Linked DNA regions of Notamacropus eugenii. The main gene of each other region encodes a partner of the protein of the gene in region 4 in a complex. Links are inferred from orthologs where the notes say so. Each region holds a gene or a part of one and is shown on either strand. Other genes may lie near its edges.

What was found.
Region 1: the proteins of HRAS (region 4) and GRB14 are in contact, whole or in part, in a crystal structure (PDB 4K81), measured with the Homo sapiens proteins. The link is inferred for Notamacropus eugenii from reciprocal best matches to the Homo sapiens genes HRAS and GRB14. Residues at the interface, in NP_001123914.1 of Homo sapiens: Glu31, Asp33, Pro34, Ile36, Glu37, Asp38, Ser39, Tyr40, Arg41, Tyr64, Met67; in NP_004481.2 of Homo sapiens: Val109, Lys111, Asp116, Glu117, Thr118, Ser119, Arg120, Ala121, Leu122, Asp123, Lys140, His142.
Region 2: the proteins of HRAS (region 4) and RASGRP4 are in contact, whole or in part, in a crystal structure (PDB 6AXG), measured with the Homo sapiens proteins. The link is inferred for Notamacropus eugenii from reciprocal best matches to the Homo sapiens genes HRAS and RASGRP4. Residues at the interface, in NP_001123914.1 of Homo sapiens: Glu3, Gly12, Gly13, Gly15, Ser17, Ala18, Ile21, Asp33, Pro34, Thr35, Ile36, Glu37, Tyr40, Arg41, Asp54, Leu56, Asp57, Ala59, Gly60, Gln61, Glu63, Tyr64, Ser65, Ala66, Met67, Arg68, Asp69, Gln70, Arg73, Thr74; in NP_733749.1 of Homo sapiens: Tyr228, Gly232, Val234, Val244, Asn248, Ser251, Asn288, Met291, Ala292, Gly295, Gly296, Cys298, His299, Ser300, Leu327, Ala328, Ser329, His330, Asn331, Asn332, Tyr333, Ala334, Arg337, Leu351, Gly352, Val353, Leu355, Lys356, Val359, Ser360.
Region 3: the proteins of HRAS (region 4) and SOS1 are in contact, whole or in part, in a crystal structure (PDB 4NYM), measured with the Homo sapiens proteins. The link is inferred for Notamacropus eugenii from reciprocal best matches to the Homo sapiens genes HRAS and SOS1. Residues at the interface, in NP_001123914.1 of Homo sapiens: Gly13, Gly15, Ser17, Ala18, Thr20, Ile21, Gln25, Asp30, Glu31, Tyr32, Asp33, Pro34, Thr35, Glu37, Tyr40, Arg41, Asp54, Ile55, Leu56, Asp57, Thr58, Ala59, Gly60, Gln61, Glu63, Tyr64, Ser65, Ala66, Met67, Arg68; in NP_005624.2 of Homo sapiens: Glu589, Lys602, Trp809, Thr810, Lys814, Leu822, Met824, Ile825, Arg826, Thr828, Thr829, Thr832, Glu836, Asn869, Leu872, Val875, Ser876, Asn879, Ser880, Ser881, Tyr884, Ser908, Asp910, His911, Tyr912, Lys913, Leu916, Phe929, Phe930, Gly931.

Annotation. Positions count from the first base shown.
Region 1 is NC_092876.1:225,021,986-225,029,133, reverse strand, and holds the start of GRB14 (growth factor receptor-bound protein 14), read left to right. Parts: upstream 1-4,145; 5' UTR 4,146-4,374; coding exon 4,375-4,565; intron 4,566-5,838; coding exon 5,839-5,971; intron 5,972-7,148. UniProt on the Homo sapiens protein: Adapter protein which modulates coupling of cell surface receptor kinases with specific signaling pathways. Binds to, and suppresses signals from, the activated insulin receptor (INSR). Potent inhibitor of insulin-stimulated MAPK3 phosphorylation.
Region 2 is NC_092876.1:31,704,808-31,712,591, reverse strand, and holds the start of RASGRP4 (RAS guanyl-releasing protein 4), read left to right. Parts: upstream 1-4,770; 5' UTR 4,771-5,309; coding exon 5,310-5,332; intron 5,333-7,784. Other genes in the region: RYR1 (ryanodine receptor 1), read right to left, coding at 3,669-3,716.
Region 3 is NC_092872.1:672,340,546-672,348,046, forward strand, and holds the start of SOS1 (son of sevenless homolog 1), read left to right. Parts: upstream 1-4,496; 5' UTR 4,497-4,635; coding exon 4,636-4,722; intron 4,723-7,501.
Region 4 is NC_092873.1:27,850,107-27,857,675, forward strand, and holds the start of HRAS (GTPase HRas), read left to right. Parts: upstream 1-4,562; 5' UTR 4,563-4,733; intron 4,734-5,255; 5' UTR 5,256-5,268; coding exon 5,269-5,379; intron 5,380-6,218; coding exon 6,219-6,397; intron 6,398-6,481; coding exon 6,482-6,641; intron 6,642-7,103; coding exon 7,104-7,223; 3' UTR 7,224-7,236; intron 7,237-7,351; 3' UTR 7,352-7,569. UniProt on the Homo sapiens protein: Involved in the activation of Ras protein signal transduction. Ras proteins bind GDP/GTP and possess intrinsic GTPase activity.

The DNA.
Region 1 (7,148 bases), on a different chromosome or scaffold from region 4:
CCCAGGAGAGCCTTAGGGGAACAACTATGTGAGCATTAAATGGATGAAGAACCAGTAGGTGTTCCCTACAGAAATGAAACTCTAGATCTGGTCCAAATTTAGAGATAATATTTTCCTTAAAATCTTTAAAATATCCTTGACTTTCCTTATAACTTTTGAGACAATTCAACTGGATTAAACATACAGATGACACATAAGTAAATAGAAAGAGAGAGATGGATGGATGGAACATTTATCAAGTGCTCATTATGTGCCAGGCACTGTGTTAAGTGCTGAAAAGTGAAAATATAAGCAAAGAGAAAGAAAGAAAGGAAGTTCCTGTTCTCAAGGAGATTACATTCTAGTGGGGGAGGGGAAGAGAACACTCCAAAGGAAACTGAAAAATGAGTATAGGAGGAAGGTGGCAGGAGCAGAACTAGGTGAGAAGTGAATATGGCTGGCCTGGGGAGCTTTCTCAAATAGAGCTTCTGGGCAGGAACTCACCAGTTGAAACGGGGGCCGCAGGGATGAAGGCAGCCAGGACAGAGGTAGAAAAGTTTTGAGAGTCAGGAGAAAAGAGAGACAAGAAAAGAATGAGAGGAGAAGAACTGGAAGAACCTAGTGAATACATCTTTATCAAGGAGTTTAACAACAAAGAGGAGGAGAGATATAGTATGATAGTGGGGATGATAAGTCAAGTGAGGCTTTTTTAAGGATGGGGGAAGACAAACATGTTTATAGGCATCAGAGTAGGAACCAGGAATTGAAATAAGTGGAATATAAGAAAGAGAATCAGGATGATAATAGGGAAGATCTATAGGAGAAGACAGGAAGGGATAATAGGATCACGAGTGCATGTTAAGGGATTGACCTTGACAAAGAGAAAGGCTACCTCTTCATCTGAGATATGAAGGAAGGGGGAGATAGTAGAGAAGATGTCTTAGTGATATGAGATGAAAAGGAAAGAAGAAGGGGGGCTCATAGCAAATGGACTTTTTGGTGAAATCTGGGGCAAAGTCCACATTTGAGAGGGTGAGGGTTAGGGGTGCCAAGGAAGATGTTAGGAGAGATGAGAAAGCCTTGAACAGCTGCTTTGAAGAATGAGTGAATAAATTAAGAAGCAATAAAATGATTGTTTCCCTTCAGTAAAGGCCCACTTGAGATTAGAGAACATAAATTTGTAGTGGATACAATTGGCATGGTTTTGTGATTTCCTGTAGTTTCATTCAGCAGCACATGAGCAAAAAGAGACAGATGATGAGAGTAATATAGGGGTGGGTTTTGGCAAGGGATGATTGGAGATAAGACAGGGCAGCCTGTGATCAAGAGAAGAGGTTAATGTAGAGTTGAGCTGTTTTACCAAGGGGTCAAGATAGAGAAAGAAGAGTATAGCTAGTGAAGAACAGATTGCCTTGCAAAGTACTCAGTTCCTTCATAGCAGAGTTTGTCTTTGTTTTCCCAGGGCTTAGGGCAGTACCTGACACATAGTAGGCTCTTAATAAACGTTTATTGACTAGCTGACTGACAGTACCAAGACGTAGAAGGAATTATAGTAGTTGAAAGGCATAAAGACAGAATGACAAAAGATTATGATTATATAAATAATTTCAGAGTTAGGATCCAGATTAGATGATTATTTAGAGGGCTTGACTCTAAGGCAATAAGAAAAAAGATAAATTTCACTGAGACAGGGAAAAGAGATAAGAATGATGGTAGTATGTATTTTTGGCAGTTGAGGATAACAGTTCTAGACATAGTGCTTCTCCATAGAGCACCCTGGGTATCCAGAGTGAGGGAAAGCATGGACGGAGGAATTAAACACAATGGTTTTGGACAAGGAGAGATGAAAAGGGGTCAGAAGTGCCCTAAGAGAAAGGTAATTTAAAACAAATTGATGGCTTCATAGATTTTACCTAGACTTGACCTTTGTCCAAAGTCTGGAAATTATCCAAGGAATCATACCTATGTTGTGACATAGTGATCTGAGTTCTGGCTACTTTCTGTGCCCCTGTAAGTCACTGTCTAAAAGTCCCTTTTTCCCTTCTTTTACTGTGAAATTTTAATAACTTTTTTTTTTTTGTTAGGCAATCAGAATAACTGCAGGTTTTATGACTGCAAGGGTCTTTCCGTGGAATCTGCTCTTGTAAACCACTTAGAAATGTAAAGTCATGTAATCTGTTTGCTCATGGGTTTCCTCGGTGTGGATTATAACAACACCAGTCAGGCTTTGTAAAGACTATCAAGGTATTTCTGGGAGCAAATTCAATATTTTAGTGTCAGTCTCGAAGACCCTAAGTAATTTAGGTTTTGGTTACCTTAGAAACCTTTTGTCCCCCTGTGAGTTGCCGTTGGCTGTCAAACACAGGACTGTTTTTGAAAGTCCATAATTCTTTATTCCTGCAGCAAAGGAGAAACATTAAGCTTGCAAATGAACACAGTCAGGATTTTATTTGAAGGAAAGAGACAGTTCTGTTATTATGTGGGTGGAGGGAGAAGGAATTTAGAGCCCACTCCAACCAACAAATTATATTTCTGAAGGTTTGAAAATTGAACTGAGGGGGAGGAGAAATACATCATATGGAAAGCAGCTGGACTGCACTGGCTTTGATTGTCTTCTCTGTTATCTCCTTATCCTTTTTTCCTGCTACTTGAGGGGAGGAGGGAAGGTAAATTAGAATATAGTGGGGAAACTCCCTCAGCTATCAATTTAGCTTCTCCTTCCCTCATCATAGAACTCCATTGCCAGACGGTTCCCAGAAAATCCCAAGAAGGAGAATCAGCCTTTGAGGAGTTTAGGGTTGAGAGAGAATGAAGGGGACATAAGCTTTGTAAAATGTATCCCTTTGATTTTTTCCTTGTGGGATCCTAACTCCTCTTTTAGAAATTATGCCGACTCTGATCTACTTGTATACTTCCCAATATAGGCATTCCCCTACTTATAGGTGAGAACAGAATGAATTCTATGAATTCATTCCAAGTATCCTGAGTACAGCCTTTTCCTCCTATTTGGCCAAAGTGCTGGCTAGTCAGTATACCTCAGTTTCAGTTTTGACCCTGTCACTTATTGATCTTGGGTAAGCAATTTTCCTTATCTGGGCTTTTGGTTCATCTATAAAATAGCAGGATTGGGCTAGATCATTTCTGGTCCCTTCTAGTCTTAGGATTCAAGTTGCAGCGTTTCTCAGACTGGGGTGGGGTGGGATGAGGTGTTAGGGAATTTTAGGTATTAGGCATAATTTTTATTTACAAAGCTCTGGGATTATGGGTTTAATTCTGGAGGCACGATGTGTTTGTTTTGTACACTACTGGGTTGTGGGGATCAGAAAGATTCTGGTGACCTTATAATAGTAAAGATCCTTACGAATCAAACTCTAGGAGCCGCCCAATTTAGAGAGCACATAAATTTGGAGAAGCCTTATCTCATTTTTCTTCGGGGTGGGGGAGCCATTGTTACTTCAAAAAAACCCAAAACAAACCAAACCAAAAAACCCCACACAACCAAACATTTATTCTCCTAGCCTCCTTTTTCAGTAGCAAGCCTTTCTCAATTTCATGGATATTTTAAAAGGCATTTTCAACTCTTCAGAACAGTAGGTGATGACATATATGTAAAAGTAACAGAGGGAGGTTTCTTTTTCATTTCCCGGCACTGGTATTTCAGACTAGAACACAACAGAAAAAAAAAAGTCTAGCAGCTGGACAGGGCAGCTAATCCACAGCTGGTCCTGCTGGCAAGGTTCTGGGCATTATCTGTTACTGGCCCTGACTTAAGCTGAGCTAAAGAAGGACACCACCCTCCTCCCAGTTACAGGGTCTCAACGAGGCCAGCAAGGTTTATGCCAAGGACGTGAGCGGCCCAATGACCACTCTGTCAGCTGGATAAAGCCAGGGGCCCCCTTCTAAGCTCCTTCTCAAGGAGAGCTGGGTTGGCTCCCGGGCAGGAAGAGAAGTTTTTGAGCAGCCGGGCCTGAACTAGCGACCACAGATAAGGTATGCCCACCGCCCGGGGGGGTCTTCTGCTGCCCCCCGGGGCGAGGGTCTTCCAGGAAGCCCAGCTCGAACGGCCGGCGCCCCCTCCTCCCGCTTCTCTCCTAGGCCACGTGCTGGAGGAAGGCTCTGCAGCAGCCACCCGGGCGGAGCTCCTGCGCCCACTCCGCCCACTCCCCGCCTTTCCCGGGGCCTGGCCGCCCACCTTGCCGCTCCGCCCCTTCGTCCGCCTCCGCCTCCCCAGGCAGCCCAGCCTCGAGCCCGCAGCGCCTGCCCGGCCCGGCCCGGCCAGCTTCCCGGGGAGCGCAGCCACCGCACCTGCCGAGCCCAGCCGCGGGCACCCCGGCTCCCCCTCCTCCCTGCGGGGTCTCCCATGACGCCTGAGCTTAGCCCCTCCACCTGCCAAGCATGACCACTTCCCTGCAAGATGGGCAGAGCGCCCCGGGGAGAGCGGCTGCCCGGGGCTTGGGGCTGGCCCAGGTGTGCGGCGCTGCCCAGGAGAGGGGCGACGCCGGCGCCCTGGCCGCGCGCCCCCCGGGGCTGCCCTGTCGGACGCTCCTGCCCGCCCTGGAGGGAGCCCACTTTTGTGCTGAGGACAGGTAGGTGGCCTCCGGGGAGGGGAGCCGACCGGGGTGAGGAGGACGGTCCTGGAGGGGAAGCCTGGGCTAGAACTCCGGCCAAGTTTGGGAAAAGTATCCCAAGACAGTCCCCTTCCCAGCTCGCTCCTGGGATCGCTAGGACATTGCGATCTCCCGGTGTCTTCCCCTAGACAGCCTTGCCCATTCATTGAGAGCCGCCTCTCCTTCTCCCTCCTGACACCCGCCTCTTCTGAGTGGAACCAGAAGGCAGCGAAGACTCCAGGGTGATTTTTTTTTCCTTCGAGGCCCTGCATTTTCTTAATAAACACTCTTGGTTTCTTTAAACTGTAGCATAAATGAAACCTCGCCTCCCACACAGACATTACCGGTACCTAGCCAGAAAAAGCAATGCTCTGGATGGATATTTGATCAGTCGTGCTTCCCGCAGGCAGAGGATGGAGTCGTTTAAAATATTCTCCAATCTTATACCGTTCAGCATCAAGTACATTTGTAGTTGTCTGTGTCTAAAGTAGGGCATTCCTTAGGAGAGAAAAGGCTGCAAAGGTAGAAAGCTTACAGATTAAACCTCTTATTGACCTCCTTCAACTCCCATGGCTCAGGTACCGCTTATTTATTTATTGATTGTTAGGTTCGGAGCATTCTAAACTCTAGCAAAGTTACATTACTTTTCGGTGCACTGCAGTGTTCATTTATACTAGCAAGTTCCATTAACTGAACTGCTTTCAAAGACAGTACTAGTTGCTGTTTTGTAGCTTAAGCATCTGAGAAGTCAACAGACTGTGTGTGGGCAACGTTTTGAATGAAATTTGAAGGGAGATGAACCACAGCTATAATTAATAAGTATAACTTTCAAAATGTGATTAGTAAAGTATAATAGAACAGGTTTCTCTAAATGCAGTAAAGATTCCCTTCTTTTCATTGAAGCTTTTAAAGAATTTTTTTGTTTGTTTGTTTGCTTAGAGCAGTTTCCATCTACCGTTTTGGTCTATGTATTTTTGCTTCAGAAAAGTTACCAAAAACTGCCGTTTACCCACATGCCTGATGGTTTGTGGAAGGTCAAAAGGGTAAAGGATATTACAAAAGGTTTAAGTTTATTAAAGTAGTTTTTAAAAATTTAATCCACAGAAAGTATAACAGAAAACCTTTTAGTGTACTTTATGTAATATTAGGTCTGTTAGAGTACCGTTTGGCCTTAACAGTTTTAAATTCTGACAGTAATTATGTTTTACATTCTGTTTTATGTAAATTATATCCTATGTTCTGTTGGTTGCAGGAGAAAAAAGAAAGATCTCAATGTTCTAGAAATGCCATCTATTCCAAATCCTTTCCCTGAGCTTTATTGTTCTCCATTTACATCAGTGTTTTCAGCAAGCCTATTTCCCAAAGCAAACTCAAGGAAAAAACAGGTATGGTTTTTAGTTTCATTGTTATAACTCTTAGGATTGACAAAATCACATAACATCCTAAAAGACACATTCACTCTTCTGATTTCGGTTTTTGTGTCTGTGGTTTATTTAACAACAGTCATGAAAAGGAGTCAGGCTTTCCTCATAGTGTTAGCTTCAAGGCTAAAAACTCCCCAGTAAAATATGTGAAAAATCAATATGTGTTTAGTTGTAACAAATTGTAACAAGTATGATATATTAAATAACACAATCATATATATGTGTGTGTGTATATATATATATATACATATATATATACTGTGTATAAATATAGTAACATAATTTCTATTTTCTCCCTTTCCAACAAGTATTTATTAAGCACACAAGGCCAAAAATGCAGTGGTTCTTGCCACAAGTAAACAACTGTAAAGTATATGCAAAGTAATACAAATAATTTCAAGAGGGAATTTCATGAGAGTGGGTGATTAGGTTACCAAAATCCTTATGTAGGAGGTGGTACCTACCTTGAAGGAAGCTGATTCTTCAAGGTGGAGGTGAGTAGGGCGTACAGTCTAGATAAAGAAGGCTTGATCCTCTATCCCCTTTGTTAGATTTCTTTAGTTCTTGAGATCCTCCATGCCATTAACTCGGTCACCCTTTAGTAATTCAGTGACAAAGTTAATTGGGCTCCAAACTTCTTCCATTTTTCCTTCCAGCATTTTGAGTTCTAGAGGAAGGCTACTTGGAGTGAAAGTTTGGAAGCCTCTGGCTGCAGAGGGGAATGGTGGACAAGGAATTGAAAGGTGATATTTAGGTATTTAAGATTTCTTCCTTTTCCTGGCACATAGTAGGTGCTTAATAAATGCTTGCTCATATGACTGTAAAGGTTCTACTTTGGGCTTATACATATGTATTTTTTGGGGGGGGGGGGTTGGGGGGGGAGATGGATCAATCAGCTTTACTTCTCATTTTACTTATGATTCTTTCCACGGTCTTTGGGGAGGGGGGAACACTAGGGATCAACAGGCTTCTACCCTTGGGCTTCTAGCCCAAGGAAGGTAGGAAAGAAATAAAAAGTGGGAAAGGGGAGGGGAGAGATGTAGTTGGGTAAGCAGATTTGGGCTTTATATCAGGAAAAACTTCCTACCAGTCCGTTGTTCAGAAGTGCAGTGGGCTGCCTTGATGTGTGATGGGTTTT
Region 2 (7,784 bases), on a different chromosome or scaffold from region 4:
CTTACCCTGAGACCCCAAACCCTCATGTTGTTCAGTCCTTTCAGTTGTGTCCGATTCTTCATGACCCCATTTGGGGTTCTCTTGACAGAGACGCTGGAGAGGTTTTCTACTTTCTTCTTCAGCTCATTTTACAGATGAGGAAACTGAGGCAAACAGGGTTAAATGACTTGCCCAGGGTCACATAGCTAGTGAGTGTCTGAGGCTGGATTTGCACTCAGGTCTATCCTGACTCTAGGCCTGGTACTCTATTCATCATGCCATCTAGCTGCCCTGGACCCTCATATTCAGGGTTTCTAGTCCCAGTTCTCCCACTTACTCCTGAAACTCCCCTTCTTACCCCTAAATAATCCCAAACTTCCCACTCTGAGATCCCCAGCCTTTCATCCTTGGTACTCCCTCCCTGCCCCTTCTTAAGACCTCAAATAATTTCACAGAAGTAGCCTCTCTATTCAGAGATCCCAAGTCTTCAGTCTTCTCTTTGCCTGTTCAAGCAGAAATTCCCACCCACCATTCTGAGACACACTTACCAAACCTCTTACTCTGAGCCCCTGGGGAAAGGGAAGAGGATAACTAAGCAATAATTAGGGAAATTTGCCACATTTTTGCCCTTCTTATCCCTTCCACATCCCAGTTTCCTTCCCTCCCCCTGGACTCTAGTATCTCTCCAAGCCATACATTTCTCTCTCCAGCCCAGCTCTGAGACATGCCCATCTGCCTGCCTGGTTTTATCTATACAGCCCATTCCTCTGGTATAGGTGGTTTAGGGACAAAAGCATGAGACCTGTATGGCCTTGGGAAAATCCCTTAATCTCTCTGGGCTTAAATTTTCACCTATGTAAATGAAAGTTCAATTAAGTGACATTTTAAATGTACCAAGCACTTGCTGTGGGTCAGGGACTGTGGTAGATACTGGACAAATATAGATATAAAAGGGTCCCTGTCCTCAAGAAGCTTATATTCTGTGGAGGAGACTCTGTATATGGTTAAATAGAAAGAGGACCCAAATCCTACTGTCCACCCTTATTGCCTGTGTGACCTTGGGCAGGTCACATCTATGGGTCCTAGCTTCTTCATCTGAAAAGGAGAGAGTTGAAGTTGTGGAATTTGTCTCGCTTGACTATGGATATTCATTATGGGTGTTTTTTTCCTTTTTTTCCCCCTTTTTCCATTGGGAGAGGGCAGGAGGAAGAGAAAATAGATTTTCATGAATTTAAAAGAATGACATTAAATGAGGCTGGACTAAAAAGCAAAGAAGGACCTTTCTAGCCCTGAATCTGTTCCTCTTGTCTGATCCTTTGATCCTTTAAATACAAAATATTTTGGTGGTGGGCAATGCTCTAACCATGGGGGAGATTGGGAAAGGTTTCCTGCAGGAGAAAGAGCTACCAGGTGGAGGTGAGAGAAGATGGAATCTCAGGCAGGGGAGGAACAACTTAAGCAACAGCAGAGAGGTGGTAGATGGGATGTCATGTATAAGGAACACCGCGTAGACCATTGTGGTTGGAATTCAGAATGCATAAGGAGGAATAATGTGAAATAAGTCTAGTAGGACACATTAGAGTCATAATGTGAAAGTCTTTAAATGTCCAAGCAAGGAAGGGAGCCATCGTGGTTTCTTGAGCAGGGTCAGACCAGTGCTTTAGAAGTAGTCATTTGACAGCCATGAACTGGATGGAATGGGAAGAAGGCAGAGTAGGGAGACCAGGACTACCTCTTCTCCTCTACTCTCCAGCCCAGGAATCTGAGTAGAGCTGTGGCCTAGGTGTGGAACTGGGCAAAAAGAGCAAAAGAGGGCTACTTTGTGAGGTACTGCAGAATGGAAAGGAAGTCTTAGTATAACGGAATAAGCGCCGATTTTGGAGTTTGAAGACCTGGGTTCAAATCCTTCTTCTATCACTTATTATCCACTGTGACTTGGGCAAGTCGATCCACCTAACCCTCAGTTTCCTCATCTGTAAAATGAGAGGATTGGACTAGATGGCCACTAAGGTCTCCTCCAATTCTGAATTAGATCTAGAACCCAGGCCCCGGAACGCTCCAATCCCTTCGTCTTTGTCTGGGGAGGTTAGATTCTCAAGTCTCTCAGATCCCTCCCAGATAGACATCACATAGTCCTTTTAAGGTTCAGTCCCAATTCTGCTTAACAGGATTTTAAGACTGATTGCAAACACACCAATCAGAAGCTTCCGAGTGGGGCTGGTTAGCCAATCCAAACCCGCTGCTGGAAAGCGGGGATTGCGAAAGGTACCAATAGGCTCGGACTCTGGAGAGGGTCAAAGCCCTGTAGGGATGGGGGGGCGGGGCAAGTATGCACAGCTGTCTCTGTCTCTCACCCCACAGCCTTCCACCCTCCCCCCAAACAGCGCCTGACTCCTCTCCTGCCCAGTCCCCCACCCCAGCTGCTCCCCCTTCTAGAAATTGGACCCTTCCTTCTCCCGTCCTCTCCTGCTTAGGGAAGGTTAGGTTTCTGCTGAGAAGGTGCCCCTGTCAGCATTTTCATGAGCCCTGGGGAGGGAGTGGGGATAGGGCTTCCACCGTGGAGGTATAAAGGGCTGTATTGAAGACACACCCTGACCCCCAATAAACTCAAGCCAGTCTCCAGGGAGTGGGAGTAGGGGGTGTGGAGTGCAGAAGGCAGGGGTACCTCGACTCATCCTCCTTGGAGCACCTCCCCCTCCCCCTCCCCCCTGGCTCCCCGCCCCCGTCCCCACCAGCAGCCCCAGCTATTCTGGGCAGCACACCTGTTCCCCCAAATTCCCATCTCCACCCTCGCCCTGGCCTGACCAGGCTCTGTCATGCAGAGATTGAGAGACCCAGAGACAAGAGACCCAGAGACAGGAGGACGGAGAACAGGAGAGAACCCAGAGACACAAGGATTCAGAAGACAAGAGCCTAGACTCTTTGGCATGTTAGGACTGGAAGGGGTCTTTGTCAGCTCATTCCCGTTATTTGACAGAGGAAGGAACTGAGGCCTAGAGAGATGGAGATTCAGAGACGGAAGCACCTGGGACTCAGAGTCAGACAGCACAGGAGACCCCAAGGAATACAGAGATAGAGACAAACTCCACCAGAGACCCTGAGGGTCTTTACTGAGGGGGAGGGGAACTTGGGAGCAAGGACAGTCAGAACTCCTCCAGGCTCCCCCAGCCAGGACTCCTCTCCACCCCTCACCCCAGGACTCTAAGTGGGTCAGAGCAAGGAGTTGGAGAATGAGGCCGGTGGGGAGGAAGCTAAATTAAGCCGACAGGGAAATTGGCATTAATACAGAGCTGTGGTCCTGGTCTAAAGCAGTCACCACGTTACCACCTGCATTCCAGGGTGGAGGGGACCCTCCTTTCCTCGCATTACCACCACCACCCCGCCCCAAATCCAGGCGGGCCAACGGGATTTTCCTCCAAGTCCTACTCCCAGACAATGAGACAGGGACCCAGACACATTCAGACACCAAGAGAGACAGAGACAACCATCCAGAAAAAGGCAGGGACAGTCAGAGACGGAGAATGAACCTGAGGGATAGGCCAGAGACGCAAGGAAACAGATCTTGAGAAAAACAAGGTGTTCATAACCAGAGACCCAAAGAGATCCTTAGTGGCAGAGTAAAAGAAGAGATAGAGAAAAGACCCCAAAAAGTTTAGAGACCCAGAAACCCCAGAGGCAGAGATACTCACAGTTCGGAGAAACTGGACGTCATCCTCGCCCTCCCCTCCATCCCCCATGATCCCAGGGAGCTGAGGCTAGGACTGGGGCCTGGGAATCTGGGGAAGCTGGGCCTGGGGCGCTGATGGTGGGGACTGAGGGGCTGGACACTTGGAGAGGGTGGCTGGGAAGGCGAGGACAGAGATGGCACTGGGAAAAGAGCTCCGAAGGGGGCAATGGGGGTGTGTGGCTCTTAGAGCCCGCCCTCTGGTTCCTATAGGTTCTGAGTTTTGGAGGGGAGGAGATATTGTATTGGCCCCGCCCCTCACCCATAGCCCCACCCCTCCTCTTTCCAGTCTTGCACCGGATCTCTGCTGAGGCTGGGAGATGAGATGGTTCTAGACAGCTGGGTTCTAGACAGCTACCCCATTCCCCAAACACCTCAGTTCCCCATACCTGAGGTCTCTTGAAGGAAGAAATTCCTTAAATATAATCTAGTCTCTCTCCTCCCCACCCTTTCCCAGTGCTAGTCCCCAGTCCCTTAGAGGTACACATGTATATTTCCATAAATCTGCGTGTCACTCACACACACACACACACACACACACACACACACACACACACACACACACACACACACACACACACACACACACACACACCCTCATCTGCATATAATTTACGTGGCACTGAGCCCGTGCCCCACCCACTAGAGACGGGGCACATGACCTGGGCTGAACCACTGAGTGCACAGGTGTGTATTCTTAGGGAAATATGCTCACTAGGTATTATGGGTAATAGACTGGGGCGGTGGGGAGGTGTAGGAAACCTCAGTACGTCACCTTGCCTGACTTCCCTCCCCACTTCCCCCATCAGAAGACTCAGGAAACCAGCAGTTTCCTTCCTCACTCAGCACATCTGCACCATTTCTCCAGCTGTGTCATGGGAGAGGAAAGAGGGGAGCCCCTAGGATCTCCAAGCACTTACAGTCGTCATGTTTTACCAACTATCCCTTTCACTCTTTCCTCTCTGGGGCAAGGAGTCTCCAACTTCCCTTGAGGTCCAGGCCCGCTTTGGCTGCTCCACTCCCCTCTAGCCTCATAGGGAACCAGGTACAGCCGCACAGATCCTCGAGGGGGAGGGAAACATCTGCTTTCTCCTCGGGCACAGCTAGATTCACTATAGAGAGAGCTGGAAGAACATCTGTAAGAAGCAGGTGTAAAGTTGATATCTTGGCCAGAATGAGAAAGTGTTAGGGGGAAAGGGACAGCTGATAAAAAGAGAATCTGAGACAGAGATGATGGGGGTTGACAGTGGAAAAAAAGAGGCAGAGATTGTGAGAGAGATAACATACATATCAAGAGAAACAGAGAGGGCCAGAAATACCCAGTGAGACGGAGACAGAGACCCAGGCGGAGCTAGAGGGCCAGTGTAGGAACCTCAGAGGATCCCCCTCCCCCAGGCTACCCAGGGCTGGTCTCTCCCTGTGTCTCTTCCTCTCTTTCTGACAAGCAGTGGGGGGAAGGGGGTCAGTTCCTCTTTCACTGGGAGGAAAAAAGTCCAGGCTCCAGTAGCTGTGAGGGGGCCCTGAGGGGGAGGGGCCCAGAGACATCCAACCCGGCCTGGTCTACCTAGGAGTCTAGACCTCCTCCCCTCCCTCCCCAGGGGGCAACATGAACCGGAAAGAAAGCAAGAGGTGAGGGGATCCCCTGGCCCCTGCCCCTCCTTCCTTACTGACTCCCTTCCTCCTGTTCTCCAGGCCCCTCCCATTCTCTTTATATCTGTCTCTTATTGGGGGTGGGGGGATTATGGGGAGGACGGATGGGAGGGAAGTAATCTAGCCAAGGATAAGTAGAGAACAGGTCTCCTAGAAGTTTAGGGTCTTGTATCCTTAAGGGAAGGATGAGGAGAGAGGAAAAAGAGAGGTTTAAATTCCTAGTTCTGACCTTTTCTCTTCTAAGGACCTTTCTAGCGCTACACTTCTATGTTCCAAGGAAATCTAGCTCTGCTATTGTCTCCCAATTTTGACATTCTCTATTCTAAGGCCAGCCATGGCATTCTCCATTTTAAGGTTTTTCCAACTCCGGAGGTGGGAGGGGAGTCAATCCAAAGTGGAGTGGGAGGGAAGAGACAAAAGGCTCGAGTCCCCTCAAGACTCCTATTCCTCTAGGCTTCAGGACGGGGTGCACTGTGATCTCAGGCAGTGTTCTCCTTTACTGGGCTTCAGTTTCCTCCTCCATAAAAAGAAAGGGAATGACTGAAATGATCACTAAGGTACCAGCTAATGCACCAAATGATGAATGTCAAGCAACCTATGTATTCTTGTGTTTGAGCGTCTCTCCACATGTAACAATGTAACTCTATGTGTAACTATGTTTCCATGTGGAACTTTTTGTCTCTATCTCTATAATGGTGTATAACATTATAACTCTGTGCCTCTAGTGTAACTGTATCTGTCTATATAACATTGAAACTGTCTCTGTATAGAACTTTGTATCTCTGTCTTTGCAACTTTGTAATGCTATCTCCATGTGTCACTTTGTCTCTCTCCCTCTGCCTATTTATATGCATAAACATGTATCTCTGTGTGTTTGTACCTTTCTGCAACATCTGAAGAATCTGTGGGTGCCTCCATGTATACCGATGTGTAGCCCTGTGTCACTCTGTATCTCTTGTAACACTTATTTATAACCTTTCTCTGAGTGTAACATTGTGGCTGTGATACCACCTATCTCTGATTCTGTATTACTCTGTGTGTGTGTGTATGTGTGTGTGTGTGTGTGTATACATGCTTAGCTCACACTGTATGCTTGTAATGTAAAGATCCCTAGACTTAGTAAAAAAAAAAAAATGGGGGAAGAACCCAGATTTCAAGCCTCTTATTTTTTTCTTGAGCTCATCAGGTCATCTCTTGAGGCCTCAGTTTCCTTATCTGTAAAATTTGAAATTGTACACCTAGAAGGAGGCTTAAACCTCATTTGGTCCATCCACCTCATTTTACAGGTGAGGAAACTGAGGTCCCAAGAAGTTAAGAGGTTAGCTCAGTGTTACACAGGAGGCAGAAGTAATGAATCTGGGGTTGAAACATAGATCTTCCTTCTTCAAATCTACAGCTCTTTCCACTCTGTCATACTAGCTGGTTTCATTGCAGAGGTGGAGGCCTGAGGATGTGCATTACTTTATGGCCAGGCATAGTTGTTTTATGATTTCATTTGGCAGAACTGCTTTTTTTCTCTTCTTTCTTGTCTTTGCTACAAGGGAAGGTTCTGGAAGGAGGGGAATGAAAGAGATAAAGAAACAAAAGATTTCTCTCTATTTCTCCATCTGTCTCTCTATCTCTGTGTCTCTCTATCTGTCTCTAATGAGGAGGTTAGATTTGGTGAGCCATAAGGCAGCTTTGATTAAAATCCTACTTCTACCAGCTATGTGAACTTAAAAAAGTCATATAACTTCTCTGGACCTCAGTTTCCTTTTCTGTAACAAGAGGATGATATTTGTGCTTTCCACCTTCCAGAATGATTGCAGAGGGAGCAGTTTAAAATGACCCTGATGTCATCTTAGAAATGAGTTATTATTATCACTCTGTGTCATTGATATCCATCTGTCTATGTTGGTATGTTTGTCTCTGCCTGCTTCCCTCTCACCCTACCCCCATGCCCAAGGATGCCCCCAAAATAGTCTCACCACTCCTGGAAAACCACTATGTCTCAAGGTGTAGGGCAAGAGAAGAGTATAGTATACCTGAGTCCCTAAGGCTCCCCCCAGGGCTGGATACTCCAGGTTGCCTTTGAGATCTCAGGAAGTGACACACAACACTCGGGTTGGCTGGGTCCCCCGCCCCCTAATTTTACCAGACCTCTGCTCTCCTCTGAGGGAGATGGGCCAGGACCAGGGACAGGGAAAGACCTGCCTGGCAGCAGGTAAGAAAAGGGCAGGAAGGAGGGAAAGGGGTGGAAGTGGATTTCAGAGCAAGGAAATGAATTTTGCACTTCCCATTCTGCTGGAGGAAGTGGAGGAGCCAGGCAGAGGAAGGGGAAGGAGCTGAAGTTCTGGGCCACTCCCAGACGCCTTCCCACCCTTTGACTTGGGGTGGGGGGAGGAGAAGCTGTTCTCTGATTGGAGGCCTCAGAGACTTTCCCCAATTTGAA
Region 3 (7,501 bases), on a different chromosome or scaffold from region 4:
TTTTGGAGATGGGTTTAGAATGAATTCCAAGGAAAGGACATCTTTGATCCACTAATTGGCCAAAGGCCCTGACATTTTTCTAATCCACTCTGCCCCATACTGTTCAGCCATAGCCATTACAAGTTCATAACTTTTCAGAACCTCTTTCTAAAACCCACGACCTTTGCGCCCACAGTCCAGGAGTTTTCAGGGCCAGACTCTTTATTTGCTCTCTAAGCAACATCAGGCAAGGTTCATGCATATCTTGCTTTGAACATGTCCTCATTTGGTGAACCAGAGGACATCTTTCTACTTTGTTTTTCCTTTTTCCTTAATTTTGTGAAAAGCAGGAGCTTTAGTGAGGGATGTATTTTGGAACATATGGCAGTAGGAATTTTATAATAGGAAGAAACATATGAGGAACCTACAGAACATGATCCTTGTTTTCTCAGAACTCTCCTGGAAATGTTTGTAGCCCTCTTATGCACTTTCCAAATTTCAAGCCCCTCATCCTCCTAGCTCTGATGTATTGTTTTTTGGTTACTGTTGGAAATAGATATCCAGCCTACTTCAGTTTTCCTCAGCTTCTGGTCCATTTCTGGGCAGACCCTCCCCCTTAGCAAGAAGATAGGAATGGTGGCCCCTGGTCTTGGCGCTCGTTGTAAAGTTAGAAGCCCTGGATAGGGAGTCAGATGGTGCCTGTCACTAACTGTGATGGAGCAAGTCCCCCCCTCCTTATCCACAAAATGAGCAGGTTTGGTTCAAGAGATCTCAAAGACCCTTTCCAGCTATGTTCATGGTCCTAATTCTGGAGAGCAGGCAGATAGCAGGCTCCAAAATCTGCTGCAAGACTGTAAATGGTGGGAAGTGCGCAGCCCTGGAGTCAGAGGCACCGAGTTCGAATCCTGCCCATGCCACTGGTGACCCAAGTCACTTCATTTATCTGTCACTCCACCGTTCCCTCCTCGGTTGGACTAGAACGAATTCTTCATCTCGGCGGGGAAGGAGGCGGTCTGCCCTTGCCTGGTGTCATGGACCCCTGGGGGAATTTCAGAATAATATTGGTAAATGAATAAAATACGTGGGATTACCAAAAAGCCAACTCTACTGAAATGCAATCATGTAAAAAATCTTTTAAGACGTCACGTTCCCCAGAGTAAGAGTTCCTGCTAGGTCCGCGGATTCCCTTCTACGTCAGGGAGTCTCGACAGACACGTTATTAGGGATGAGCTGAAGAAGCAGGGGCGGGAGGATGCTCGCGGGGAGCGCAGGGACGTGGCCGCTGGGGCTGCGCCCGCACGCGCGGCCCTCCCGCCTGCAGGGGGCGTGTCGCGGGGGCTGAGCGGGGCGGAGACTGAAGAAGCCTCCTTCCGCTCCCTGGAGCGCCGAAGCGCGGCCGAGCTGCTCGGAGCTCGGCTACCTGGTCTGGACGCCTCCTCTGAGCATCACTTCCGCCCTGACGCGGGCCTCCCTGAGTCTCGTCAAGGAAAGAGAAGCGCCCGGGGAGGCAGCCGCGCAGGCGCCGCCCGATTCTAACTGTCTGGGTTGGGGTCGCGGGGGTCCTGGGGCTGCCAGTCACTGCCCCGGGTCCCCGCCTCACACCGGGGACTCCTGAGCCGTTTCCCTTTCTTCTTTCACGAGGATGTATATTCTTTTGTCTCCCACAGAATGGACGGGCTACGTCCCCAGCCGCAGCCCCTTCCCCATTTGTCCACCCTTGTCTGATCAGCAGACCTGGCCCTTTGCCCGTCCCAATCCTCAGGCCGCGATGCTGGCCCCGTGAATTTAACTTATTCTTACTCGTGAACCCCTCCTCCATCCCCCCCCCCCCCCCCCCCCCGCATTGGGTGGCTGAGCATGCCCAGTCCGATCTGAAATCCAGTTATCCGGGTTTTACTCCACGGCCGGGGAGCGGAGCAGTACCTGTACTTCTAGCCTGGGAGAAGAAAGGGGGAGGGAGGGGTGTGTGTGTGTGTGTGTGTGTGTGTGTGTGTGTGTGTGTGTGTGTGTGTGTGTGTGTGTGTGTGTGTGTGTGTGTGTGTGTGTGTGTGTGTGTGTGTGTGTGTGTGTGTGTGTGTGTGTGTGTGTGTGTGTGTGTGTGTGTGTGTGTGTGTGTGGTGGGGGTGGAGAAGAAAGGGGGAGGGAGGGGTGTGTCTGTGTGTGTCTGTGTGTGTCTGTGTGTGTCTGTGTGTGTCTGTGTTGTGGGGGTGTCAAGTTTCCCTCACCTTGGTAGGGACTCCTCCTTTGTACCCACAGTCCAAGAGTTTTCAGGGTCAGGCTCTTTATTTGCTCCCTAAGCCCTATCAGGCAAGGTTCATCCCTGGCACTGCAGGCAGAACCTGAGAGGATGCAGGGTGGTGGTTGGTGGTGGTGGAGAACGGCATTAGACTGATAGGGGTGCCCTGTTGGAAGGAACCCGACAGAGATCGCAGAGGTTTGTTGACAAATTTTGATTGCTAACTGCATCGCTAGATCTCGCGTACTAGCTGTGTGACTTGGGGCAAGTAACCTCCATGCCTTAGTTTCCTCATCTGTAAAATGGCGATAAACCTTCCAGGATTGTTGTGTGGACACGTTCAGCGCTTTGCAAACCTTAAAATGCGTGTATGTATGTGTGTATATGCATACGTGCTATTACTCTGGTGTCATGGATAGAGCACTGGTTCTAGATTTAAGAAGACCTGAGTTCCAGTGCAACCTTAGACACAAGTGGTGTGACCCTGGGCAAAGCACTTAACTTCAGATTCTTCATCTGTAAACTGGGGATAATAATAGAACCTACATCCCCAGATTGTTGTGAGGATCAAATGAGATATTTTAAAAGTACTTTGTAAGAGCTAAATATCTATACCATAGATTTTGACCATACCATTTTACTTAGTACTCACATCCCAGAATTTTCTTTCAGCGGTTGCTGATATTTTTTGACTATGCAATTAAGAGGACAACAATGGACGGCTTACTAACATTTTCACGCTCCCCTTGCTCCTTTATTTGAGGGGTGTCATTTCTTTCCAGCTTCCACTACTTTTGTTTCTGAAACCAAGGAACTACATTGCTCTAAGTATCACCTGCTGGAGCACATTCACCAGTTAAGAAGCTCGATCCACCTTTACTCTAGTTTTTTGCTTTGTTGTTATTTTGGGTCTCCGTGTTCTTCCTAGGATGAAGTGTGTAACCATTAAAAAGATATGAACCTTTTCTGGGTCTCTGGGTTGTCAATCCAGTCATTTATGAAGCTCCTACAATGTGCCATCACTGTGCTAAGAGCTGGGGAATACAAAGAGTCAACGCCGTGCCTGTTCTGCTCTCAAGGAGTTGTCTCTCTTAATGGGGGAGATGATGCAAATTACTATGTACTCGCAAGATGCACACAGTGTAAATAGAAGGTAATCTCGGAATGAACGAGCAAATGCCGTTCACGTTAGAATAGATGACCTCTAAGGTCCCTTCTGACTCCTCCGATGTGCCCTTGTGTCCAAGAATGACCAATTAAACTGCACAAGTTGGCATCCTCAAAGGGAAGGAAAGGGCGAGTGCAACACGCATACCTGCCCTATCCCTCCCGGGAGAGCTTAGGGACCTGTCTCCTTTGGAGGTTGGCTGTACAGTGCCTATTCTATTTTAGGCATTCACCCGACACCTCTCTGGGTAACTAAGTCTGCGCCTCACCCCCCCGCGGTGCTTCTGATACGAAAAGAACCCCAGACCTCGAAAGGTGAAGCACGTTCTTTCATGTGACCCCATCTCACAACTCTGAGAGTGCTTTCCCCTGGCTCAGCTGGTGTCCCTCAGCCACCCCTCCTCGCAGTGTGACACTACTACCCTCGCTCCTTCCCCTCCTCTCCAGTGCCAGGGCTGAACTCCGAGCGCGGCCAATCTCCCTACTTCTTGAATCCCTCCCCCCCCCCCATCCCTCCAGGCCCTTCGCGGTTGAAGGGAAAACCTGGAGCCGGAGGAGGTTGGGGGCGGGGGAGGGGGAGGTGGCAGCCGCTAGAGACTGCGAGCCGCTGTCCCCGCTGCTGAGCATGCTCAGTAGCGAGGCAGGTTCCACTGAAGTAGGAAGCTTGAGCTTTACACCGGCGGCGGTGGTGGCGGCGGCGGTAGCACCTCGGGGCGGCCGGGTTCCTTTAGAACCACAAAATCGGGCTGTTCCCGTCCTCCTCTCCTGCTCTGTCCTCCCCGTCTCCTGGGACCCCCCGGGCAGCCTAGCCGCCGTAGCGGAGGGAAGGGGCGCCGGAGACGTCTCACTGCACGCCCCCCCTCCTCGGGGCTCCGCTGCAGGGCCAGGCCGGGCCGGGCGGGCCAGGCCCGGGGTAGGCGCCCAAGGGGACCCTGGGGGCGGCTCCGCGCTGAGACAGGGCCAGCGGCGGCAGCGGCAGCGGCGGCGGGGGTGGGGGGGAGAGCGCCGGCTCCGGCCCCGGCCCCGGCCCGGGGGAGGCGGTGCGGGATGCCGCCGCCGCCGCCTCCTGGCCCGGGCTCGGCTTGGTCCCTGGTCCTGTGTAAGTGGCCGCGCCGGGCCCCCGCTCGCCTTGCCCTCCGCAGGGGCCGGGTGTGAGAGCTCGGCCTCCTCCTCCTCCTCCTTGTCCTCGTCCTCCCCGCCCCCTGGCGCCCCGCTCGGCCGCCGCCGCCCCCCGGAGGAGCCCCCGGGGCACCATGCAGGCGCTGCAGCTGCAGTACGAGTTCTTCAGCGAGGAGAACGCGCCCAAGTGGAGGGGGCTGCTGGTGACGGCCCTGAAAAAGGTGAGGTGGGGGCGCGGGCCGGGGGAGGGGCGGGCTGGGCTCCGGCATCCCGCGGACGGCTTGCCCGGTTTCTCGGGGCGGTGTCGGTGCGGGCACTGCTCGCACGGCGACTGCGGGAGGCTGTTTGTAGCGGCCACCCACCGAAAAGCTTAGTGCCTAGCCCCCTATCCTCCTCCCCTTTTCTTCTGAGTATGTCGAGGTATGCAGAAGAGTGTCTAAAAATGATCCCCTGCTGCCTTTTCATTCTCTCCATCCCTCCATTCAGTAAGCCGTGAAGAGGCAAGTGAAAGGCAGCCCTGTCCTCAAGGAGCTTTTCCTCTCCTTTGTATATTAGGAACTAAGGTCAGCTTCTTGCCCTAGGTGCCCAGGGCCCCTGCGTGAGCACTGTGGAAAACTGCCCACATTCATCTGCAGGCTCCCTGAGGGAAGGGACTGACTTTGCCTTTGTGTGTATCCCCCGTGCCCAGCGGAGTGTGGCACCAAGGAGTCGCTTAAGAAATGTTGTTGATTTGACTTTTGACCATCTTGTTTGCCCTAAGTAATTACGCTGCTTGCCTTCGGTTAGCTACGGGATTAGATCTTTTTGGCTTTGTTTTTAGTAATCGCTTGCCACCATCCAGAATTGCCCCACCCCCCCATGCTCCATTTAGTAAGGCTATGCGAAAATAGTACTATTTGATTTATCAGTTATTACATTGGAAGGCTAAGGTTTTTGCTATTCGAATTTTGGCTTGATAATCAGAATTTTCAGAATTATCATCTCTTTGCAATCTGTAGCTGCAAACTTTTAAAAACAACATTGTGTACCAAAAGGACATTAAGACATCTGAAATTGGAATCCTTTAAAGAATGTGTACTTGTGTGACTTCTGAAGTAATAATTTGTTGTTTCTTTTCTAGTCGTCATTTCTGTTGTGCTGCATTTAGAAGTTACTTTGTCTTTTCCTATTTTTTGTTAACTTTTTTAAAACATGTTTTAAAATCCCTGTTACCATATTGTTCAACACTGAAGCTTAACAAAGTAACTCTGTGTTTAGTGATTTGTTCTTAAGATACATTTTACTTTTTGTTACTCTAGTCTAGAGAATTGAATTTAGAGAACAGTTACTCTTTGTATGCTTATTACTAGATTATTATATCTTCTTAATATGTCTTGAAAGGTATAGAAAGGTTTTCATTCTCACTCCCTTTTTCCTTGTATTTCCTTGTATTTTTGTATAACTTTTCACTTACTTTTTTCTTACAATGTTATTAAGTTCAGACTTCAGTGAACTGTTTTTTCTAAAAAAATCTAAGTTTTAGAAGCAAATGGAAAATCAAATTGCAGAAGTACCTTCATTATGTGCAAATCAGTATTCTTGCAACTTAAAGTACATAGAACCCAGGAAGCAAGAAAAATTTTCTGAGTCGCTAAAAAGATGTTACAAAGCTGGTAAATTTCACTCAAGATAATGCATTAGATCCTCACTTAGTTCTCCCTTTACTCTTATTTCATGCATGATTCTGCATTTAAGTGTGGAAGGAACTTGTGTCACTAAGGCATCCAAGCAGGCACTGATAGCTTCATAGTGAGAAAGAAGGGAGAAAAACTGTAAAAAGTAAACAAAACTCAAGCTTAGCTGTCTGGAGCCATTAGGAGCAAATAGCCTTACACACCTCAACAACCCCCAGGGGCATTACTGTATTACCACATGACCCATCATTAAAGTAATGATGATACTGAGTCACTAAGAAAAGGTTCAATTATGTTTAGTATCTTACCTTGGGGAGAGTAGAGTGCATCCCCGTGACTGTAGTGCCAGAGCAGGGATAAGGGTCCTCCTCCCCTCTCCTGCTTCTATACTTTAGGTCTTACTATCAAGCAGCTTGGTGGGGGATAGTCTCTTTTAATGTCCCCATTAACTAAAAACATTCTTCAATAGACTCATTTTAAGGAGGCAAGGAAGTACGTTATAACTTTGAGAAAGATTTGGCCCTCAAATGGGGTAAGTTTCATTTATCTGGAAAATTAACATGTGTGGAACAGTTCATTTCCTGATGCTGGATAGATGAGGTGTTACTATACTATACTTGTATGTGAGAGAAGAGATCAAGTAGGTCACAATTTGTGACCTATTGCCCTGACTAGCTCAGATGTTATTTAAAAAACAAACTATTATCTTGAAATTGATACTACCTCAAGGGAGGAGAATTTAGAGAATGTCTTTTGAATGTTGCTTTTGTGTTTCTTTTGTAACTCAGATTCCTTGTTGTTAATTTTAAAAATCCACCATCTAACACAAATCTTTAGTTTATTAGGAAATAGTCTACCTAACTACACATTTAAAAAAATAAAGTTGATGTCTTCTGTTTCTTACATCATTATCCTTATCCCAAGTATCTCTCTTGCTGTTCCTCTCAGAGAGCCATCTCATATGACAAACAGCATTGGGGGAGGGGGGGAAGGGAAGACAAGAATCAGTACAACTGATAAAAGTCCAAAAACATATACAATATATAACACTTTTATAATTCCTACCTCCCTGAAGGGATGGGCTGGGGATGTCCCCTCATATCTCTTCTTTCCAGTCCTTCTTGATCTTTGATTTTGTTACATTCACTTCATATATGTGTATATATATGTATGTATGTATACACACATATTGGTGTGTAGTTCTTTCTATTTACATTGTTATAGTTACTGTGTATATTGTTTTCTTGGTTCTGCTTACTTCTGGGTCAGTTCATGAAGATCTTTGCCTGTTTTTCTCTATTCATCACATACATTTCTTACAGCAGAG
Region 4 (7,569 bases):
GCGTGTGCATGTGTGTAATCCCACCCAGTACCCAGATAATTAAAAGTTTGAAGAGTTACAAATATTGTCTTTCCATGTAGGAATGTAAAGAGTTCAACTTTAGTAAGTCCCTTATGACTTCTCTTTGCTGTTTACCTTTTCATGCTTCTCTTCATTCTTGTGTTTGAAAGTCAAATTTTCTTTTCAGCTCTGGTCTTTTCATCAAGAATGCTTGAAAGTCCTCTATTTCATTGAAAGACCAATTTTTCCCCTGAAGTATTATACTCAGTTTTGCTGGCTAGGTGATTCTTGGTTTTAGTTCCAGTTCCTTTGACTTCTGGAATATCCTCTTCCATGCCCTTTGATCCCTTAATGTAGAAGCTGCTATATCTTGTGTTATCCTGATTGTATTTCCACAGTACTTGAATTGTTTCTTTCTAGCTGCTTGCAATATTTTCTCCTTGACCTGGGAACTCTGGAATTTGGCCACAATGTTCCTAGGAGTTTCTCTTTTTGGATCTCTTTCAGGTGGTGATCTGTGGATTCCTTGAATACTTATTTTGCCCTCTGGTTCTAGAATCTCAGGGCGGTTTTCCTAGATAATTTCATGAAAGATGATGTCTAGGCTCTTTTTTTGATCATGGCTTTCAGGTAGGCCCATAATTTTTAAATTGTCTCTCCTGGATCTATTTTCCAGGTCAGTTGATTTTACAATGAGATATTTCACATTATCTTCCATTTTTTCATTCTTTTGGTTTTGTTTTGTGATTTCTTGGTTTCTCATAAAGTCATTAGCCTCCATCTGTTCCATTCTAATGTTGAAAGAACTATTTTCTTCAGTGAGTTTTTGAACCTCCTTTTCCATTTGGCTAATTCTGCTTTTGAAAGCATTCTTCTCCTCATTGGCTTTTTGAACCTCTTTTGCCAGTTGAGTTAGCCTATTTTTCAAGGTGTTATTTTCTTCAGCATTTTTAACCTGCTTTTCATGCTTTTCTTTCATCTCTCTCATTTCTCTTCCCAGTTTTTCCTCCACCTCTCTAACTTGATTTTCAAAATCCTTTTTGAGCTCTTCCATGGCCTGAGCCCATTGGGTGGGCTGGGATACAGAAGCCTTGACTGCTGTGTCTTTCCCTGATGGTAAGCATTGTTCTTCCTCATCAGACAGGAAGGAAGGAAATACCTGTTCACCAAGAAAGTAACCTTCTATAGTCTTATTTTTTTTTCCCTTTTCTGGGCATTTTCCCAGCCAGTGACTTGACTTCTGAGTATTCTCTTCACACCCACTTTGCCTCCAGATCTGCCCAGCCAGCACTTGGGGTCTGAGATTCAAATGCTGCTTCCCAGCCTCAGGGCTTTTGGCGGGGGCGGGGCTGCTATTCAGTGTGAGATCAAGTTCAGGTGCTCAGGTGGGGGCAGGGCCGCCACACGGGCTCAGTTCCCTCAGGAGGTTTATGGGGAGACTTTCAACAATGGATCCAAGCTCCTGCCTGCTTGGGGAGCCCTGGTCTGCTCCTGCCTCTGCTGCTGCCTCCCGAGGGCACCTGAGTTATGGGGGGACCCCACTCCCCTCTCGGCAAGCCGAGAAGACCTTCTCACCAACCTTTGGGGCCTGTGGGTGGAGGGACCTGCGTGGCCGCTGGAGATTCCATCCCTGAAGCCTGCTCGGATCTGCTTCTTTTGGTGCCCGCAGGGCCAAGGCAGGGCTGGGCTTGGCTCTGGGTCCAGGGCACGACGGACCTTTTGCAAGAGGTTTCCAGGGCTCTCTGGAACAGAAATCTCATCCACTCTGTTGTTCTGTGGCTTCTGCTGCTCCAGAATTTGTTGGGAGTTCTTCTTTACAGATATTTTATGGGCTGTGGGTTCAGAGCTAGCGTCCATGTGTCTTTCTACTCCGCCATCTTGGCTCCGCCCCTTGTTTACAATGTTCCTGGGAATTTTCATTTTGAGATTTCTTTCAGGAAGTAACTTCCTTCTATTTCTATTTTGCCCACTGATTCTAAAAGATGTGAGAAGTTTTCTTTTATTTCTTGAAATAAGTAGTGCAATGATTCTTAAATTGTCTCTCCCTGACCTTTTATGTTCCCCCAGGTCATTTTTGCTTTTTTTTTTTTAATGAGGTTCACTGTAGTTTCTTCCACTTTTCCCCCCAGTCTTTTGACTTTAATATTTCTTGTCCTTAAACAGAAACCATTAACTTCTATTTGGTACATTATAATTTTTGTAGGAGTCTGTTACTTGGGTAAGGTTTTATGCCTCTTGTTCTAAGCTGTTAATTTTCTCTCCAATTCTTTCTTCTGTGGCTCTCATTCATTTTCAATTTTCTCCCCTATTCCCCTCTTTTATTTTTTGATTATTTACTCTAATTCTCATTTAATTTATAAAATGGCGTTTTAGTTTTTTTTTTTTAAACTCCTGCTTCATCTGTTCCAGAAATTCTCATTGAACTTGTGTCCAAGCTGTGCTATTCTTTGAAGTTCAGTTTGTAGATGTTTTTGGAGTCATTCTCTCCTTTTGGGTTTATGTTGAGTATCCTTGTCATCATAATAGCTTTTTTATGGTAGGATTCTTTTTCTGTTTACTCATTCTTCCACCCTTACTTCCTGATTCTAAACTTCATGTAAGGGTCAGGCTCTGCTTCTGGTTAAGGGCTGAGCCACGTTCGGTCCTCTTAGGTCCTGCTTTGCTCCTAAAGTGGTCTGATGCAGGATTATCTCCCTTTGGATTCAGATGGCACTAGTTATTCCTTCCTCCTCCCTTCCCTCCCCGAACCATCAAACTCAAGGAGATTTCATCAACTTGGATATTCACATCTCATTAAGAACCTCAGTTGCCTTGGACTGGAGGCTTGGAGGGCAGAGCAAAAAACTCCACCCAAAATCTCCATTTAAAAGAGGGCTCAGAAGTCTGACTCTTCATCTTCCAACAGCTGTACTCTTCGGATTCTGTCATCATGTTCCCCCACCCCCACCCCATTCTACTTTCCCATTTCCTTTCATGCCCCGTTAAATCATAAGTTCCTTGAGGGCAGAGACTTTGGGTTTTTTTATTTGTGTTCCCAGTGCTTGGCAAGGTAAAGAAATGTTTGTTGTATTTCTATTTGAGTTTGTGAAGGCTAATCCCTGTCGTCTTGGTTTGAGTTTCGCCAGTTCCAGAGGTCGGTTTAGGTCTTAGCCACATAACTGTGGGCTTACTCCATGTTCAAGTTCCAGTAAACTGCTACTGGACTCGGCCAGGGCCAGCCAGGTGGAAGGCTTTCCAGGTCCAGAGTGGCAGAAATGGAAGCTCCTATTCATCTGGGCTGCCTGCCCTGATTACTCATTCTGCTGCAGGTTGTAGACTTGGCCGTACCTGAAACTCGAGGTCTGCTCTGCTCCCTGGTCAAAGTCCCGGAGCGGGTGTTTGCCCAGTGCGCAGTCCCACTTCGCGGTCCACTCTGCCTGCCCTTGACTCCTGTTCCGGTCTCTCAGTGTGGGTCTGAGAACTCTTCCTTTGCGGTCCTGGGCAGACCCGTCCCCTCACTCCTAGCCTATCGTAACCACCTGCTGGTAGTGGGGAGATCATCTGCTGCTCTGACCATCTCAATCTCCCTGCTCCCCCTGCCCACAAATTCCTGTGGTTCCCTATTACCTCCAGGGCCAATGTGGCTGCTTCCCCTCATTTTCTGTGCTCTTGCATACAGACGCTGGCTGTCGGGCTGGCCCTTGAATGTGCCACTCAATCTCCCGACCCTAGCATTTTCTCTGGCTGTGCCCCACTCCTGGAATGCAGTCCCTCCTTCTACACAGAGGAAGCCTTCCCTGACCTCCTGCCTAGGCTCGGGCAGGGACCACTTGGGTGCAGGGAGCGGCAGCGCCCAGGTGGGGTCAGGGAGGTGTCTTTCGGACCCTGCGCTGACCTGCTGCTCCCTGACCATCCTGGTGGGAGCCCCAGGCCCCGCGGTGTCGGGATGAAGGCTCAGCCCTCCTCGCAGGCACAGGCAGACCCGGGCCAGCACACGCTTCGAGGGCACAGGCTGGCCCACCAGCCGCAGGGGCCCTCTATCTAGGGAGCTGCCCAACAGTCATTCCATCCCTGGCTCCCCATTGCCCAGGGTCACCGCTCCTCTCTTTGAGCTTCCTCAGAGTATGCCGCGCGACCGGCCCAAACTAGCCTACTGCAGTGCCGCAAGAAGTTCCAGCTCCCGTCGCCCCGCCTTTGCCCCGGCAGTTCCCTCTGCCTGGAATGCTCTCCCCTTCTCACCTCCCAGCCAATACCGAAAAGGATCCCGGAGTGGGCGGTGCCTAGAAGGCCGCTCCGGCCACTGATCGGGTTGAAGCAGGCGCTTCAGCCAATAAGAAACTAGACTCTGATGGTCAACTTACTTCTCCAACGGGAAGTAGGGCTGGCTCCAGGACGTGATGGGCAGGAGGCTCAGCCAATAGTCAGAGCCGCTCAGAGAGCGTCGACGGCGGTGAGACCTTGCAGACGGCTAGAAAGGGTGGGCGGGGCCGAGGAATGTCCTCGTACGTGTGCGTGCGCGTGCGCGGTGGGGCGGGGCCGAGGCGCGCGCCGCCGCTCGCCGCGCCCCCGCCCGCCGCGCGCGCCCGCGCCCCGGGCCGCCAGGAGCCCATGCGCGGAGTGAGCCGCCCGGCCCGGCCCCAGCCCCAGCCCCGGAGCCCCCCGAGCCCCCTCCGGAGCCCCCGGCCCGGAGCCCCCGGCCCGGGGGGGCAGCAGTGGCGGAGCAGAAGGAGACGGCGGAGGAGGCAGTGAGCCCGGTGAGCCTAGGGGGGGTCCCGGCGAGCGGAGCGGGACGGAGGGCAGAGGGGAGGGGGCGGCGGGGGGTGGGGAGTGTGTGTGTGTGTGGGGGGGTTATTGGGGTGGGGACGGTGCCCCCTCAGCGGGGAGGTTGGGGGCTCGGGCCTCCCGGAGCGCATGCCGTGGCCGTGGCCGTGGCCTTGGCTTTCCCCTTCTGGGGCAGGGGCACGGGCGGGGGCGGGGTGCGGCCTGGGGAAAGGGGTGCGGGGGAATGCGGGGCGGGCAGCCTACAAACTTGCCCGTCATCCGAACGCGGGGGCTGGGGGGGTTGTCCCGGGGCGTGTCCGTGTCTGGGGGTGCGCGTGCCGTGAGAGGGGGGGACCTGGCCCGGGCCGGGAGGGGCTGGGGGAGGGGCTGCAGGGGGAGGGGCTGCCGGGGGCGGGGCCCCCACCTGGGAGCTCCCCCTCCCCCACGCTCGGGGGCCTGGGCAGGCCTGGGGGGCCGGCCTTGGGGGCCCCTGAGACAGCGCAGCTTCCCCGCAGGCTCCTGGCCAGGATGACCGAATACAAGCTGGTGGTCGTGGGTGCGGGGGGCGTGGGCAAGAGCGCGCTCACCATTCAGCTCATTCAGAATCACTTCGTGGACGAGTATGATCCCACGATCGAGGTAAGCGCGCCCCCACGCCCCCCGCCCCAGGACCCAGGAGTCTGGACGGCGCCCTCCCCCCCAGGCCCCTAGGACCCTGTACGGCTCCACACCCCCGCCCCAGGACCCTGGAGGGCGCCCTCCCCCCACACACCCTGGACCCAGGACCCTGGATGGTGCGCCCCCCAACACATACCCAGAACCCTGGACAGCTTCCCCCACCCAGGACCCTGGAGGATGTCCCCCTCCAACACATACCTCAGGACCGTGGACTTCGCATACACATGCTCACAGGACCCTGGACAGCACCCTCCTTCCCCCCCTCCCCCAGGGCCCTGGATGCTGACCCCTTACCCAACACATACCCAGGACCCTGGACGGCTCCCTACCCCTGACCTAGGACCCTGGATGGCACCCTCCCCCCTACACATACCCAGGACCCTGGACGGCTCCCTACCCCTGACCTAGGACCCTGGATGGCACCCTCCCCCTTACACATACCCCAGGACCCTTGACTTCGCATACACTCACAGGATCCTGGATGCTGCCCTCCCCAGCCAGGACCCCAGATGGTGCGTGCGCGCATGCACACACACGCGCGCACACACACACACACACACACACACACACACACACACACACACACACACACACACACACACCCAGGAACCTGAATGCTCACCCCCCACACCCCGCCCCAGGAACACATACACTTACACCCCAGGTCCCCCTCCCCCAACCCCATCCCCTTCAGAATCACTCCCATCACCAGAAGCAGGCTCCCAGAAGCTTTCCCCAGGAACTCCCTAGCAGGGAGGGAGCTGAGACCTGGGGTTCTGCCTTAACTCCCCCCACTCCAGGACTCATACAGGAAGCAAGTGGTCATTGATGGAGAGACCTGTCTGCTTGACATCTTGGACACTGCAGGCCAGGAGGAGTACAGCGCCATGAGAGATCAGTACATGCGCACCGGGGAGGGCTTCCTCTGTGTCTTTGCCATTAACAACACCAAGTCCTTCGAAGACATTCACCAGTACAGGTGAGCCCCCACCCCACCCTCCACCGGCCCTGCCAGCCCTGCCCTGCCCCACTGGCCAGCTCCTGCTTCTCTCCTCCCATGCAGGGAGCAGATTAAGCGGGTGAAGGACTCGGATGATGTGCCCATGGTGTTGGTGGGGAACAAATGTGACCTGCCAGCCCGGACAGTGGAGACACGCCAGGCACAGGAACTGGCCCGAAGTTATGGGATCCCCTACATTGAGACTTCGGCCAAAACTCGCCAGGTGAAGGCCTCCCACCTACTGTCCCAGCTGCCCGCTGTGGGGGTGGGGGTACAGAGGCCAAGCTGGAGGCCTCTCCCCAGCATGGAGAGACCCAAAAAAGCTGAGTAGCTGAGTACAAGGCCCCAGAACAGCAGGGAGTCTGGGTAGTGAAGAGGTGAGCCCTTGTGTGGCACAGTTTGGGCTAGGTAGGCCCTGGTTGGATGTGAGCTCCTATCTGAAGTGGACCTGGGGGATCCTTGGGAGGTCTGGGTCCAAGATGAACCCTGATCTGACATGAGCCCATGTCCAAGGTGACCCTGGGTCCAAAAGAAGCTGGAGTCTGGGAAGAACCTAGGCCCTGGATGAGCTCCCTCCGAGGGAAGCCTGAGGCTGTATGGCCTCAGGGCCCCAGAGCGGCTCCCTCGGAGGCCAGCCCGAGGCCAGGGCACACCCAGGCTCTGGCTGAGCTGCCCCTCTCCGCAGGGGGTGGAGGATGCTTTCTACACACTGGTGCGGGAAATCCGGCAGCACAAACTGCGGAAGCTGAATCCCCCGGACGAGAGCGGCCCGGGGTGTCTGAACTGCAAGTGTGTGATCTCCTGACCGCGGGGTGGAGGTGAGGCCTGGGGAGGGGGGAGGTCGCGGGCGGGGCTGAGAGCAGGGACCCCCCCTCCTTTCCTTCCCCCATCCCGTCGGCTGGACCCTGAGTTGGCCTTCTGGTCCCCGCCCAGGCTGGGGGTTTGGAGGTGCAGGACCCGAGTGAGGGATGGAGGAGCCGACGGACGGAGGGACGGATGGACCATGGTGGACACACTGACGGACAGTCGGTTGGAAGGAAGGAAGGAAGACAGCGGCGGCCGCCCCTCGGCGCTGCTGCTGCTGCTGCTGCTGCTGCTGGAGTTCCTGGTCCTGCCGGGAGGGCCAGATGGCGCCTCTGATCCCCCCGCAG